Caenorhabditis elegans: one gene and its partner. The protein of the gene in region 2 purifies or fractionates together with the protein of the main gene of each other region. This does not show direct contact. Each region holds a gene or a part of one and is shown on either strand. Other genes may lie near its edges.

Region 1 (5,950 bases), on a different chromosome or scaffold from region 2:
AGCTCAATTTCAATGTCTCCGGCAGTGGTTTCAAGGGTTACCTGCAAGAAATTTAGTTAAAAATGAAGTAAAATTGAAGAAAATTGAATAATTAATTGATTTTATTATGGTAAAGACATTTTTTTAAAGCTTTTTCGAAATTATTTAATTTTTGAAAATTCAATTTGTTTCGATTTCTTCAAAATTTTGGGATTTTCGCGCCAAAACTACAGTACCTAGGGTATCGACACGAATTTTTATTATTGCTAATTGAGATACGTGTGCGCCTTTAAAGATTACTGTAATTTTATTTTAAAGTTTGCAACTACAGCTCTTTAAAGGCGCACACCTTTTCGCAATCAAAAATTTTTTGTCGTGTCGAGACCCTAGGTACCGTAGTTTGGGCTCGAAAATCGCAAAATTTGTCATATTTTTGCGATTTTTCATCTAAAAATTGACAACTTTTTAAAAATTCGGATATTTAATTTTTAAAAAGGAGTAAAATATGACGAAATCTGCAATTTTCGCGCCAAAACAACGGTACATAGGGTCTCGAAGCGACATATTTTTGTTTAAAAATGTGCGCTTTTAAAGATTACTGTACATTCGAATTTTCATCAATTTTTCATAGTAAACTGTAGTTTTTGGATAAAAAATTTTCGAATTTTTATCGATTTTTTGATTAAAAAAATGTTCAAGACTACAGTACTCTTTTTAAAGGCGCACACCTTTTTGCAGTTAACAAAAAGTCGTCGTGTCGAGACCATAGATACCGTATTTTTGGCGCGAAAAGCGCAAAATTCGTCATATTTTTTCGATTTTTCCTCTAAAAATTGACAAATTTCAAAAAATTCGGATATTTAATTTAAAAAAAAGAGAAAAATATGACGAATTCTGCGATTTTCGCGCCAAAACTACGGTACCTAGGGTCTCGAAGCGACACATTTTTGTTAAAAAGATGTGCGCCTTTAAAGATTACTGTAGTCTCGAATTTTTATAGATTTTTTGATTAAAAAAATGTTCAAGACTACAGTACTCTTTAAAGGCGCACACCTCTTTGCAATAAACAAAAATTGTCGTGTCGAGACCAGGAAACGTAGTTTTGGCGCAAAAAGTGCAAAATTGGTCGTATTTTTCAATAAATTATCCAAAATTTTTCGAAATTAGCCAATTTTTAGATAAAAAAAACTCAAAATTTTCGTTTTACAGCTTAAAAATTGCAAAAATACGCGAATTTTTCATCGGAAAAATCGAAAATTTCACTGGATTTTCGATTTTTATTCAAAAATCGATAAAAATTGAAATTTTCGGTCATTTTTTCTGGAAAATTCAATTTTTTCCACCAAAAATCGATAAAAATCAATAATTTTACCTTTCCCGTCGTAATCGGCTCGTTGATATATTGATTACTCATCTGAAAACTGAAAATTTTCCGCAAAAATCTGAAAATCGCCGGCTGAAATATTCACACAGAACAAGTAACTATTGTTTGAAAATATCGATTTTTTGTTATTTGTCGGCAAGAAATTTATTTATATAAATATATATAGGTTTTGAATATCAAAAATACTGGAAAAAAAAGCTGCTACTAATATCTACACTGTAGAGAGGAAAAAGCCAAATTTCAAGCCAAAAAATTCACGAATTCACCCAAATTTTGGATTTTTTTCGGTCAAAATTCCGGGAAAATTGATGAAAATCAGCTAATTTTACAATATAATTTAGAGGAAATCTGGGGGAAAATTGGGGAAAACTAAGGGAAATTCTACAATTTTGAAGCTGAAATTCCGGGAAAAATCAGCTAATTTTACGGCTAAAAATTAGGGGAATCAATGAAAATCAACCAATTTTACGACCAAAATTTAGGGGAATCGGTGAAAAATCAGTGGAAATCCGGAAAAATCTGTGAAATAGGGGGAAATAAATAATAATTTAAGATCTGGCGTTGATAATCTTGACAAAATCGGGTTTCAACGATGCTCCACCGACCAAGAATCCATCGATATCCGGCTTCTTTCCAAGCTCAGCCGCATTGTCAGCAGTCACAGATCCTCCATAAATGATTCTCGTGGCATCGGCGACAGCTGGTGAGACCTTCTCTTTGAGGAATGCACGGATCCATTCATGAACCTCCTGGGCTTGTTCTCCAGAAGCAGTCTTTCCGGTTCCGATGGCCCAAACTGGTTCGTAGGCGATCACAATGTTCTCCCAGCTGACACCCTTGTCGACGATGGCTTGAAGTTGACGGAAGTTTACCTGGAAATTGGAAAATTTGGGTCTCGAAGCGATCGATTTTTGAAATTTATTTTTCTACAACATTAAAAAAAATCTTTATTTATAAGGAATTGGGTATTATTTTTCAGGAATTTTTTGTTTCAAATTTTATCGATTTTTCGAAAATTTTATATTCTTCGGGATTCTTTTTTTTTTTTGAATTTTTCGCGTTTTTGGGAATTTAAATTTGTATTTTTATATAAATTTCACGAAAATTCATTAAAAAATCGGGTCTCGAAGCGATTATTTTTGAACTTTTTTTGTTTTACCACGTGGAATAGGGAATTTAATCGATTTTTCGAAGATTTTTAAATAAAAATGTTTCTTCGGAGATTTTTTTTTGAACTTTTCTGCAAAATTCAAGAAAATTCATAAGAAATCGGGTCTCGAAACGACTATTTCAGGAGTTTTTTCTTTTTTATTGCCGGAACCAATTTTTTTGTTGAAAATTTGGCAAAAAAAAAAAGAATTATTTTTGGCGACCATTTTTTGTTGGAATTTTCCGCTTTTTTGGAAAATGATAAAATTAAATGTTTTCTGTTCAAAATTCACGAAAATTCATAAAAATCGGGTCTCGAAGCGATTATTTCTAATATTCGTTGCAGAAAGAGAAATATTGCGTTTTTTTTGAGGAAAAATTGAGCTCAAAACTATAAAATTCAGGGATTTTTTAAGAAGAAACTTTGAAAAATTCCCGAAAAACGTGCAAATTCGAAACAAAACCATTTTGGAATTTTCAAAAAATCTCAAAAACTTGATTTTTCTACTGAAATATTAGAAGAAATCGATTTTCTACCCGAAAAAATTAAGAAAAAAAATCTGAAAGTTTGAAAATGTTGAATTTTCAAATTTTCTTGCGAAAAATCGATAATTTCCAGTATTTTGCTCCCTTACATCCTTGGTGTGTCCGGCTTCACGCTCCTCGAGCTTCTCCCCAATGCAGAAAACGACCTTAATTCCAGCCTCGAGAGCATGCACGGTCTTCTCAGCGATCAGCTGAAAAAGAAATTTCAGATTAATTTCCCTGAAACTCGAATTTTTTATTGACACTTGGTGTCAGGCTGTCTCATTGCGGTTTGATCTACAAAAAATGCGGGAATTTTTCTGCCAGAAAAATGTGACGTCAGCACACTCTTGCGAAATCAGTGGAAAAGTCTGCGTCTCGAGAAGATCTTTTCCCGAATTTTTCGAAGATCAAATCAAAATGTATTAAACTAACAGCATCGCTTTCTCCAAAGACATGACGACGTTCCGAGTGTCCGAGGATCACCCATTCCAATCCAAGATCCTTGATCATTGCCGGCGAAATTTCCCCGGTGAATGCTCCCTTTGGCACTTTGTAGCAGTTTTGTGCGGCGACAAGCACACCGGCTTTAAGCTTGGATTTAGCGTAGGCCAGATATGGAGCTGGTGGAGCAACGACGACATCAACGGAGGAATTGTCGGCTGAGGCGTTGAGGAAGGTGACGATACCATCGACGGAGGCATAGTCTCCGTTCATCTTCCAGTTTCCTCCGACGAAGAACTTGCGAGTCATCTTGATTCTACAAGAATTATGGAATTTTTTTGTTGGAGGGAAATTTGGATAGAAATTCAGAATAAGGAGGAGAAAACGATAGAAGAATTGCTATTCTTTGTGAAACCGAGAGTATCGATTTTCCCGATTTTCTTGCCCTGTATTCTTTTCAAAAAGTGGCTCAAATTTAATTTTTAAAAATGTCGTCTCGAGACCTGGTATGGCTCAAAAATCGTAATATTTCGCCTCTAGCTAATTTAGTATTGATTGGCAAATGTAAGAAAAGTATATAGTTCAGCAAAAACTTAACTATCTAAAGATGGTCTAGTCGAACGTTTTTTATTGTTTAAGTAGTCTCGAAATAGTCTAAAAACACCGAATTTCATAATGAAACTTCTTGAAAACTCCTCCAAAAAGTTATGGCGGCTCAAAAAATTACCTGAAATTAGTTAAAATTTGAAATTTAACCGACTTTTCAAGCGGCTAACTTTTTTGAAATAACCGTCTAATTTTGGGTATACAAGTTAATTTCTTGTTGCAGTTTCAACTCGATTTTGGTACATTTAAGCTCGATGTATCCCCCAGATGTTACCAAATTTAACCAAATCTGGTGACAAATCGACCTCAAATATACCTAAATCGAGTTGAAAACGCAAGATAATTAACTTATATACCCATAATTAGACGATGATTTCAAAAAGTTAGCATCCAGCCGCTTGACAAGACGGTCAAATTTCAAATTTTAACTAATTTCAGGTCATTTTTTGTACCGCCATAACTTTTTTTGAGAAGTTTTCAAGAATTTTCATTATGAAATTCGGTAATTTCAGATAATTTCGAGTCGAACACAAAAGGAATTTTTGCTGAACTATATACCTTTCTTACATTTGCCAATGAATACTAAATTAGCCAGAGGCGAAATTTTACGATTTTTGAGACACACCCGGTCTCGACACGACAAATTTTCATTAAATTCGAGTCACTTTTCGACAAGAATACTGACAAGAAAATCGTGAAAAGTCGATACTCTAGAGTCTAGGCAAAAATTAAAAATGACGCAAATGACTTTCGAAAATCGTGATCAATAGCCAACGTTTGATAAGGACGAGAGATAACAATGGAAAATCGAATTCGACATTGTTTTTTCGAAACAAATTTCAATCGAAATCAAGACTACACAACAAGTGAGATAGCGGGGTTTCTTCGATTTTATTTTTCTTTTTTTTGGCTGGCCAGCAGCAGCAGTCGAGAGAAACGAGACGATACAGTGTAGACAATGAAGAGACGGAGAGAGAAGGCGCAGTCCGAGTTTGCACGTATTTTGTAATGTTCTGAGTAGTGTGTGTGTGTGAATGGCAGAAGAGTGTTTGTGGATAGATTCGATTGGGAAGGGTTATTACGGGAGCACAAAATTCAGAGAATACGTACTGCACAACATATTTGACGCGCAAAATATCTTGTAGCGAAAACTACAGTAATTCTTAAAATGACTACTGTAGTGCTTATGCCGATTTACGGGGCTCGATTTTCAAAATGGATGCTTAGTTTTAATATTCTATTTATTTCAAAAAATCGAGCCCGTAAATCGACACCAGCGTTACAGTAGTCATTTAAAGAGTTACAGTAGTTTTCGCTACGAGATATTTTACGCGTCAAATATGTTGTGCAATACGCATTCTCATAGTATTTTGTTCCAGTAATATATATTTACAGGAAAATATGTTGGAAAACATCAGAAATTACAATGAAATTAAAATCACAGTGATTTTTCAAAAAAACGCTCCGCCCTTTTATTGGTTTTTTGCGTTTACGTCGCAGTTTGGCGAAAACTCGATTTTTTACCAAAACATTAATAAATGGACGGGATTTTTGTGAAATTTTTGAAAAAAAAGTCACTATTTTTAAGTTCAATTTGCAGTAATGCAGCTAAAAATCATTCGAATTTTCTATATATGACGTTTTCGAAAATTTAAATCTTCGCAAAGCACCGCCCATATATTGCCAAACTCCGCCCATTTATTGGTGCTTCTTCATGGTACAATTAAGCATTAAAAATCATACGCTTTTCGAATTTTGAAAACCTTTATCCTACAGATTTATAGTTAAATCCACAGCAGCTTAGAAGTATTATCAGATTATCAGGCTTAAAAAAACAATTTTTTCTAGATTTTTCGCCCCCGA
Region 2 (7,165 bases):
TAATTGAAAATTCCGCAGAAACGAAAGTTTCAGGTTACAGTAATCTTTAAAGGCGCAAACATCTCGCGAGAAAACAAAACAAAATTTGTCGGGTCGAGACGGGGTACAGTATTTTTTAGTATTTTGCGTCAGAAAATAATTGTTTTCGAAAATATTAAAGTCACAAAAATTCTGCAGTGTTTTTATTGTGAAAAAATAGCCAGAATCCTCAGATGTTAAGCGAGGACCAACCTAATTGTAACTTGAATGAAATATATGTACATATATTATATGTCCCAACACTTACCATGCGTCATATCGGCTGCCCTTGACTTTTCGTGAACACGCAGAAATATCGACAACAGAATTGAAATCAAACTCTAATGATTTGGATTTTGAGTTTAGTTGAATACGTCGAAAATGAAAATGCAAGGAATCAATTTTTAAGCAGCAAGTTTTCATGTAAATTTCACATTTTTTCGAAGCAAGTGATAGTTCCAACCTGAATTCAAGGTGTTTGTCTTATTATATAAAGTATTAACTTACAAATCAATAAAGTCTATATGAAGAAGTACATTCTTCAAAGCAAGTGTAGGAAGTGATAATAAACGAAAAGGTGACATTTTTTTGAATAACTGGAAATACAAAATGGGGAGAAGAGATCTCGAGATGAACAGCATGCGGGGTCTACTTACTATTAGAAAACATCGATTGGTTTTCCCACAAGGTAAAAATATATGGTCTCGTTGCGAACGGGAATCTGGACTGTATAGTGGTGACCCTGCCCACTTCAGTCTACCCCTTCCAATTATTCTTATATCGTAACTTTGTGCAATTATGAGACTTCATACGATTTTCAGAAGAGAATGAACTGTGCTTCTAATTTAATCATAGTTCTTTAAAAAACAATTTTTTTCGCTTTCGTAGTCGGGAGGATTTCTTATTGATGCTCAGAGTGTTTCTTTCAATGTTGTAACATTTTTTGCAATATATGGGTTCATTTATCTTGATGAAAACATAACAAGAAATATAAAGATTCCTCTAGATCTTGTTGAAGGCGACAATGTCGACGGATTGGACGTGATCCTCGAAGTCTCCGGTGATCTTCTCGATGAGGTCATCAACCGAAACCTTGAGATCCTCGATAACAGTGATGATCTGGAGCTTCTTGATTCCTGAAAGTTTACATAAATTTTAATTGTGTGAATTTCAATCCACTAACCGTATCCAATTGGGATAAGCTTAGCTCCTCCCCAGACAAGTCCGTCCATCTCGATAGAACGAACGAGCTTCTCCATCTCTCCGAGGTCGGTCTCATCGTCCCATGGCTTTACATCAAGAATGACTGAAGATTTAGCAATTGGTCCAGCCTTCTTGGCCTTCTTCTCGGCGTAAGCGGCGAGACGCTCCTCAACGATCTTTGCCTTCTCGGCATCTTCCTCCTCATCGTCGGATCCGAAAAGATCGAAGTCATCTCCATCAGCAGCAGCGGCAGCTGGAGCTGATCCTCCGGCGGAAGCCCAGGTCTTGCGCTCAGCATCAGTGTAAGAAGCTACATTAGCGTACCAACGGGCAACATTTGGATAGGTGGAGGCGTTTGGGGCGGATCCGAGAGCGGCGAAAAGTTGGGCGTCCTCTCCAGACAAGACGAAGCTATAATTTTCAAATTATTTCAATGAATAGACTATCTGAAAAATTTACAAGAGTTGATTACACCTATTTTCTGCATTTTTTCCTAAAAATTGCATAACTTCAGAATTTAAAGACTAACCCAGTGGCAAAAGCCTGCTCGGCGAGAGTAGTGTTGAAAGCAGCAAGTCCAGCTGGGCTCTTGACGTCGGCAACCATCTTTTCAGGAGTGAAACACGAAGGAATGATGCTAAAAGTCCTACAAATAGGTTAGTGAATAAAATCGTTGCGAGACTCAAAGTCTGTCGAAACCCCATGCGCCTTCAAACGAGCATAGCGCCAGTGATCATTCAATGGCGTGTTTGCTGACCGGAGGCGCCCAAGTTTCGCGCTTTCATTTCTCCTCCCATTCATTTTCGGCATGCACGCCGTCTCTGCTGACCGATGCGTTATCATTTTCTTTTCGGTTCGCTGCGGAATCACTTGTTTTCGTTCCGAGGGGTTATTTACTGCAGAGAAAAGCTTTTTAATTGTTCCAAATTAAGTTTTAGGCCTGTGTTTATGAATATTATCCTTTCTTTTAATTTTTTTAAATAGGTTCTATTTCTTTCCCTTTGTCGGACAGGAATTTCTGTGAAAATCTTTCATTGTTCTGTAATTTACAGGAGAAACCATGAATTCTCTTCTTCGGTTGAGCCACTTGGCTGGACCTGCACATTATCGCGCACTTCACTCCTCTTCGTCCATCTGGGTATTCAAACCTAAGCATAATTATTATAAATCTTTTGTTTTCAGAGCAAAGTTGCAATCAGTAAATTCGAGCCGAAGTCGTACCTCCCGTACGAGAAACTATCTCAGACTGTGAAGATTGTGAAAGACAGGTGTGTAAAGTTCAATTTGTTTAGCTTGTCAAGTACAAAGTATCTTCACTGCTTTCTGTTCGTTATCATACAATTAATGATGTTTATGGTGAATAGTCATGTGCGCCACTGACATTACAACACATACAGTTCAGTTATAGGTTCTTTTATGTTATTTCTAACTCTCGAATAGTGAAAGCTCACCCAAATCGCAGTCACAAGCCAAGGGTCGCAGAGAGAAACAAACAGAGTTCCGTTGTAATAAGAAGATGGGTTAGAGCGTCATTGAGAGAACCAAGAAAACGTCGAATCTTTTCCATCTCTGTTCTCTGATTAATGTCAACATGTTGTGAGAGGGCGTTTTGACCATAATACAGTTTCATAAGTGTACATCACTATTCTTTTCAACTTTTGATGATGCAAAATCTAATTTCTGGTGTCATTAATTGTGATGTCACAATAGAAATTATGAAAATTATCTAGTTGAACGTTGCATAGAAATTCATGTGGACCACATTCTCTAGTCTCCAGACTGGTCGAACTTTGAAGCCGAGGTGATATTTGCCGTGTGACAGTACTTTGAACTCATGAAGGAAACATCGTTAAGTCTAACTAAAAACTTTAAAAATAGATTTTAGTTTTTCTACTGATAAAAACAAAAAATATATTGTTTCAGATTGAAACGTCCATTGACGCTTTCCGAAAAGATTCTCTATGGACATTTGGATCAACCAAAAACTCAAGATATTGAGAGAGGAGTTTCATACCTTCGTCTTCGTCCAGATCGTGTTGCTATGCAAGATGCTACCGCTCAAATGGCTATGCTCCAATTCATCAGCTCCGGACTTCCAAAGACAGCTGTTCCATCAACTATTCATTGCGATCATTTGATTGAAGCTCAAAAGGGTGGAGCCCAAGATTTGGCCCGTGCTAAGGTTTGTGATATTTGCGAAAAAATTATTTTACTTAAATTTTCTTCACCCTAAATATATTTCGATTTCTAGGACCTCAACAAAGAAGTCTTCAACTTCCTTGCTACTGCTGGAAGCAAATATGGAGTTGGATTCTGGAAGCCAGGATCTGGAATTATCCATCAAATCATTCTTGAGAACTACGCTTTCCCAGGACTTCTTCTCATCGGAACTGATTCTCACACACCTAACGGAGGAGGACTTGGAGGACTTTGTATTGGAGTTGGTGGAGCCGATGCTGTAGATGTTATGGCTGATATTCCATGGGAGCTCAAGTGCCCGAAGGTCATTGGAATCAAACTCACTGGAAAGCTCAACGGATGGACTTCTGCCAAGGACGTTATCTTGAAGGTTGCTGATATCCTCACTGTCAAAGGAGGAACTGGAGCTATTGTTGAGTATTTCGGCCCAGGAGTGGATTCTATTTCTGCAACTGGAATGGGAACCATCTGCAACATGGGAGCCGAAATCGGAGCTACGACATCTGTCTTCCCATACAACGAGAGCATGTACAAGTATCTGGAAGCTACTGGACGTAAAGAAATCGCCGAAGAAGCCAGAAAGTACAAAGATCTCCTCACTGCTGACGATGGAGCTAACTATGATCAAATCATCGAGATCAACCTCGACACTCTTACTCCACATGTCAACGGACCATTCACTCCAGATCTTGCCTCTTCCATCGACAAACTTGGAGAAAACGCCAAGAAGAACGGATGGCCACTCGATGTAAAGGTCTCACTTATCGGATCATGCACCAACTCTTCATACGAAGACATGACCCGTGCTGCTTCCATTGCCAAACAAGCTCTTGATAAGGGACTCAAGGCTAAGACCATTTTCACCATCACCCCAGGATCCGAGCAAGTCCGTGCCACTATTGAAAGAGACGGACTCTCCAAGATTTTCGCTGATTTCGGAGGAATGGTTCTCGCAAATGCCTGTGGACCATGTATTGGACAATGGGATCGTCAGGATGTGAAGAAGGGAGAAAAAAACACAATTGTCACATCATACAACCGTAACTTCACCGGAAGAAATGATGCGAACCCAGCCACTCACGGTTTCGTTACTTCTCCAGATATCACAACTGCTATGGCCATCTCCGGACGTCTTGACTTCAATCCACTTACTGATGAGCTCACCGCCGCTGATGGTTAGTAACATTTTGAATAGTTATATTTTTTCATTACTCAACCTCGTTTATCATTTCAGGAAGCAAATTCAAACTCCAGGCTCCAACTGGACTCGACCTTCCACCAAAGGGTTACGATCCAGGAGAGGACACATTCCAAGCCCCATCTGGAAGCGGACAGGTTGATGTATCTCCATCTTCTGATCGTCTTCAACTTTTGTCTCCATTCGACAAGTGGGATGGAAAGGACCTCGAAGATATGAAGATCCTCATCAAGGTTACCGGAAAATGTACTACTGATCACATTTCTGCTGCTGGACCATGGCTCAAATATCGTGGACATTTGGACAACATTTCGAATAATCTTTTCCTTACGGCTATCAATGCTGACAACGGAGAGATGAACAAGGTCAAGAACCAAGTTACTGGAGAATATGGAGCCGTTCCAGCCACTGCCCGCAAATACAAGGCTGATGGAGTTAGATGGGTTGCTATCGGAGACGAGAACTACGGAGAGGGTTCATCTCGCGAACATGCTGCTCTTGAGCCACGTCATCTTGGAGGAAGAGCTATCATCGTGAAATCCTTCGCCCGTATTCACGGTCAGTTAGTCTTCAAAATAAATAAAATTTACCTTGCTTATTTCCTCAACGCGCCATAACTTATTTTTTTCAGAGACGAACTTGAAGAAACAAGGAATGCTCCCACTCACATTTGCCAACCCAGCTGACTACGACAAAATCGATCCATCAGACAATGTTTCTATCGTCGGACTCTCCAGTTTTGCTCCAGGAAAGCCACTTACGGCTATTTTCAAGAAGACCAATGGATCAAAGGTGGAAGTGACCTTGAATCACACCTTCAACGAGCAACAAATCGAGTGGTTCAAGGCCGGATCTGCCCTCAACAGAATGAAGGAAGTATTCGCAAAGAGCAAATAAATGTTTCATTGGAAAACTATTTTCTCTTCAAAACCTGTAGTAAATACTCATTTTCAACAAACTGTAATGTAATGTATACTGAATTGAAGTATTTTGAAAATTCATTAGAGAAGTGAAAAACATTTTCTAAATACTTCAGTTCATTCCCAATTTTCCCATAGTAGTCATCACAACCTCCATGAGATTGTTTTTATGTATGAGTAGATATTGTTTTGTTTCGTTTTCGTTTTTTTGTAATTGATTCTTATTTCCATGAAAAGACACAACTATTTATTCTTGTTCATTTATTGATCATTTACGAAGACGGGCGAAGATACTGAGGGCCACCGTGACGATTCCAACGCCAAGAAGAGCCTTTAAAATAAACTGATTGGAGTATACTCAAATGAAAGCTAAATCCAAATTTACCGAGTTATCATAAGTGAATGCACAGATCTTTGATGCCAGAGTGTTTTGTGAAGAATGATCAGTTGTTGTGGTTTCCATTGGATGCGAAGGATCAACCGGTCCGGCTTTTCCACCATCACCATCACTCTTCAGAAGATCATTCAACCAATCATCCTGTGATTCTTCATCACCATTTCCAACAACTTCAACGTCAGAAATATCACTGACAACCACGTCACCAGCTCTATCTTTAATCTTCATTTTGCGAAGTTTCTTAATGCGTCGCTGTTTTGCCACCGCTTTTTTATAATCAGCAGATTTTTCGCTTCTCTTCGGTGCTTCTGACATTATCGAAGTGGATTCAGCTGCAAGTTAGAAAAAATTAGGAAAGAAAAATAAATCCAATAAATTCACCTTTTCAATTAGCTTGTATTGAGTGATAAAAAACGAAGAACTGAATATTTTATGATGAAGTAATTGAACCGAATATTATAAACTTTACGTAGGAAATATACTTTTTCGCGTGATTAATTTTTAAATGTTTGTTTTTATATTCTGCATCTAATCATTGGTGAATTGCAATCTCGAACTCATTCTAGGCTTGATATTTTATTTGACTACGGTACTTTTTAAAGGCACAGACAACATTCGTTCATTGCTATGTTTTCGTTGCGAGACTCGTCGGCCGAAACATTGATTTGATTGTTTGTTTTTTGCGTTTTCTTTGCTAGAAATTTATTGAATTTCAGTATTTATTTCATATTATTTTTAAAAATATTATAATGTTATCAATTTAATTATTTTTTCTAAAGTCGTGCACTTTTTGAAAGAATTTTCTCATGTTTCAATCAAGCCAAATGATCTTTTAAACACTTTTTGTGTTCTCTAATTCTTCTTCCTCCCCTTTTATTTTCCCGCCTTTTCATTTTAAGTTGTAAAGTGTGTTGTGTCCCGTTAGTCGTCAGTGTCTATTTGTTTGTTGCCGCAATCTACCACTCTCAAAAAACTTGACCCAGAATACATGCATTTTTGATTTTATTTAAGATTTGGTAAATAGTTCGCTTGTCATGCGCCTTCCAAAATATTTTGTTCGCCATTAAAAGTTTGAAACATTCCAAAAAGAAATGCCCCGAACCAGGATCGAACTGGTGACCTTACGATCTTCAGTCGTACGCTCTCCCAACTGAGCTATCGAGGCACATTTTTCCCCGCTTCAATTGGCTGTGAAGTAAATTTCGCTTTTAGAAATAAGGAAAAACTGAT

What was found.
Region 1: the proteins of aco-2 (region 2) and tpi-1 fractionate together in Caenorhabditis elegans (co-fractionation; one large-scale study listed by BioGRID). This does not show direct contact.

Annotation. Positions count from the first base shown.
Region 1 is NC_003280.10:12,035,343-12,041,292, forward strand, and holds tpi-1 (Triosephosphate isomerase), read right to left. Parts: upstream 3,798-5,950; 5' UTR 3,791-3,797; coding exon 3,473-3,790; intron 3,250-3,472; coding exon 3,148-3,249; intron 2,236-3,147; coding exon 1,912-2,235; 3' UTR 1,493-1,911; downstream 1-1,492. Other genes in the region: cyn-16 (Spliceosome-associated protein CWC27 homolog), read right to left, coding at 1-41, 1,352-1,393. UniProt on the Caenorhabditis elegans protein: Triosephosphate isomerase is an extremely efficient metabolic enzyme that catalyzes the interconversion between dihydroxyacetone phosphate (DHAP) and D-glyceraldehyde-3-phosphate (G3P) in glycolysis and gluconeogenesis.
Region 2 is NC_003281.10:7,971,444-7,978,608, forward strand, and holds aco-2 (putative aconitate hydratase, mitochondrial), read left to right. Parts: upstream 1-2,273; 5' UTR 2,274-2,281; coding exon 2,282-2,359; intron 2,360-2,397; exon of another isoform or gene 2,398-2,403; coding exon 2,404-2,489; intron 2,490-3,144; coding exon 3,145-3,403; intron 3,404-3,472; coding exon 3,473-4,595; intron 4,596-4,654; coding exon 4,655-5,176; intron 5,177-5,249; coding exon 5,250-5,515; 3' UTR 5,516-5,806; coding exon of another isoform or gene 5,807-5,869; 3' UTR 5,870-5,912; downstream 5,913-7,165. Other genes in the region: F54H12.5 (uncharacterized protein), read right to left, coding at 287-481, 526-659; eef-1B.1 (putative elongation factor 1-beta/1-delta 1), read right to left, coding at 1,021-1,154, 1,202-1,632, 1,751-1,827; C06G4.4 (uncharacterized protein), read right to left, coding at 5,807-5,869, 5,924-6,250. UniProt on the Caenorhabditis elegans protein: Catalyzes the isomerization of citrate to isocitrate via cis-aconitate.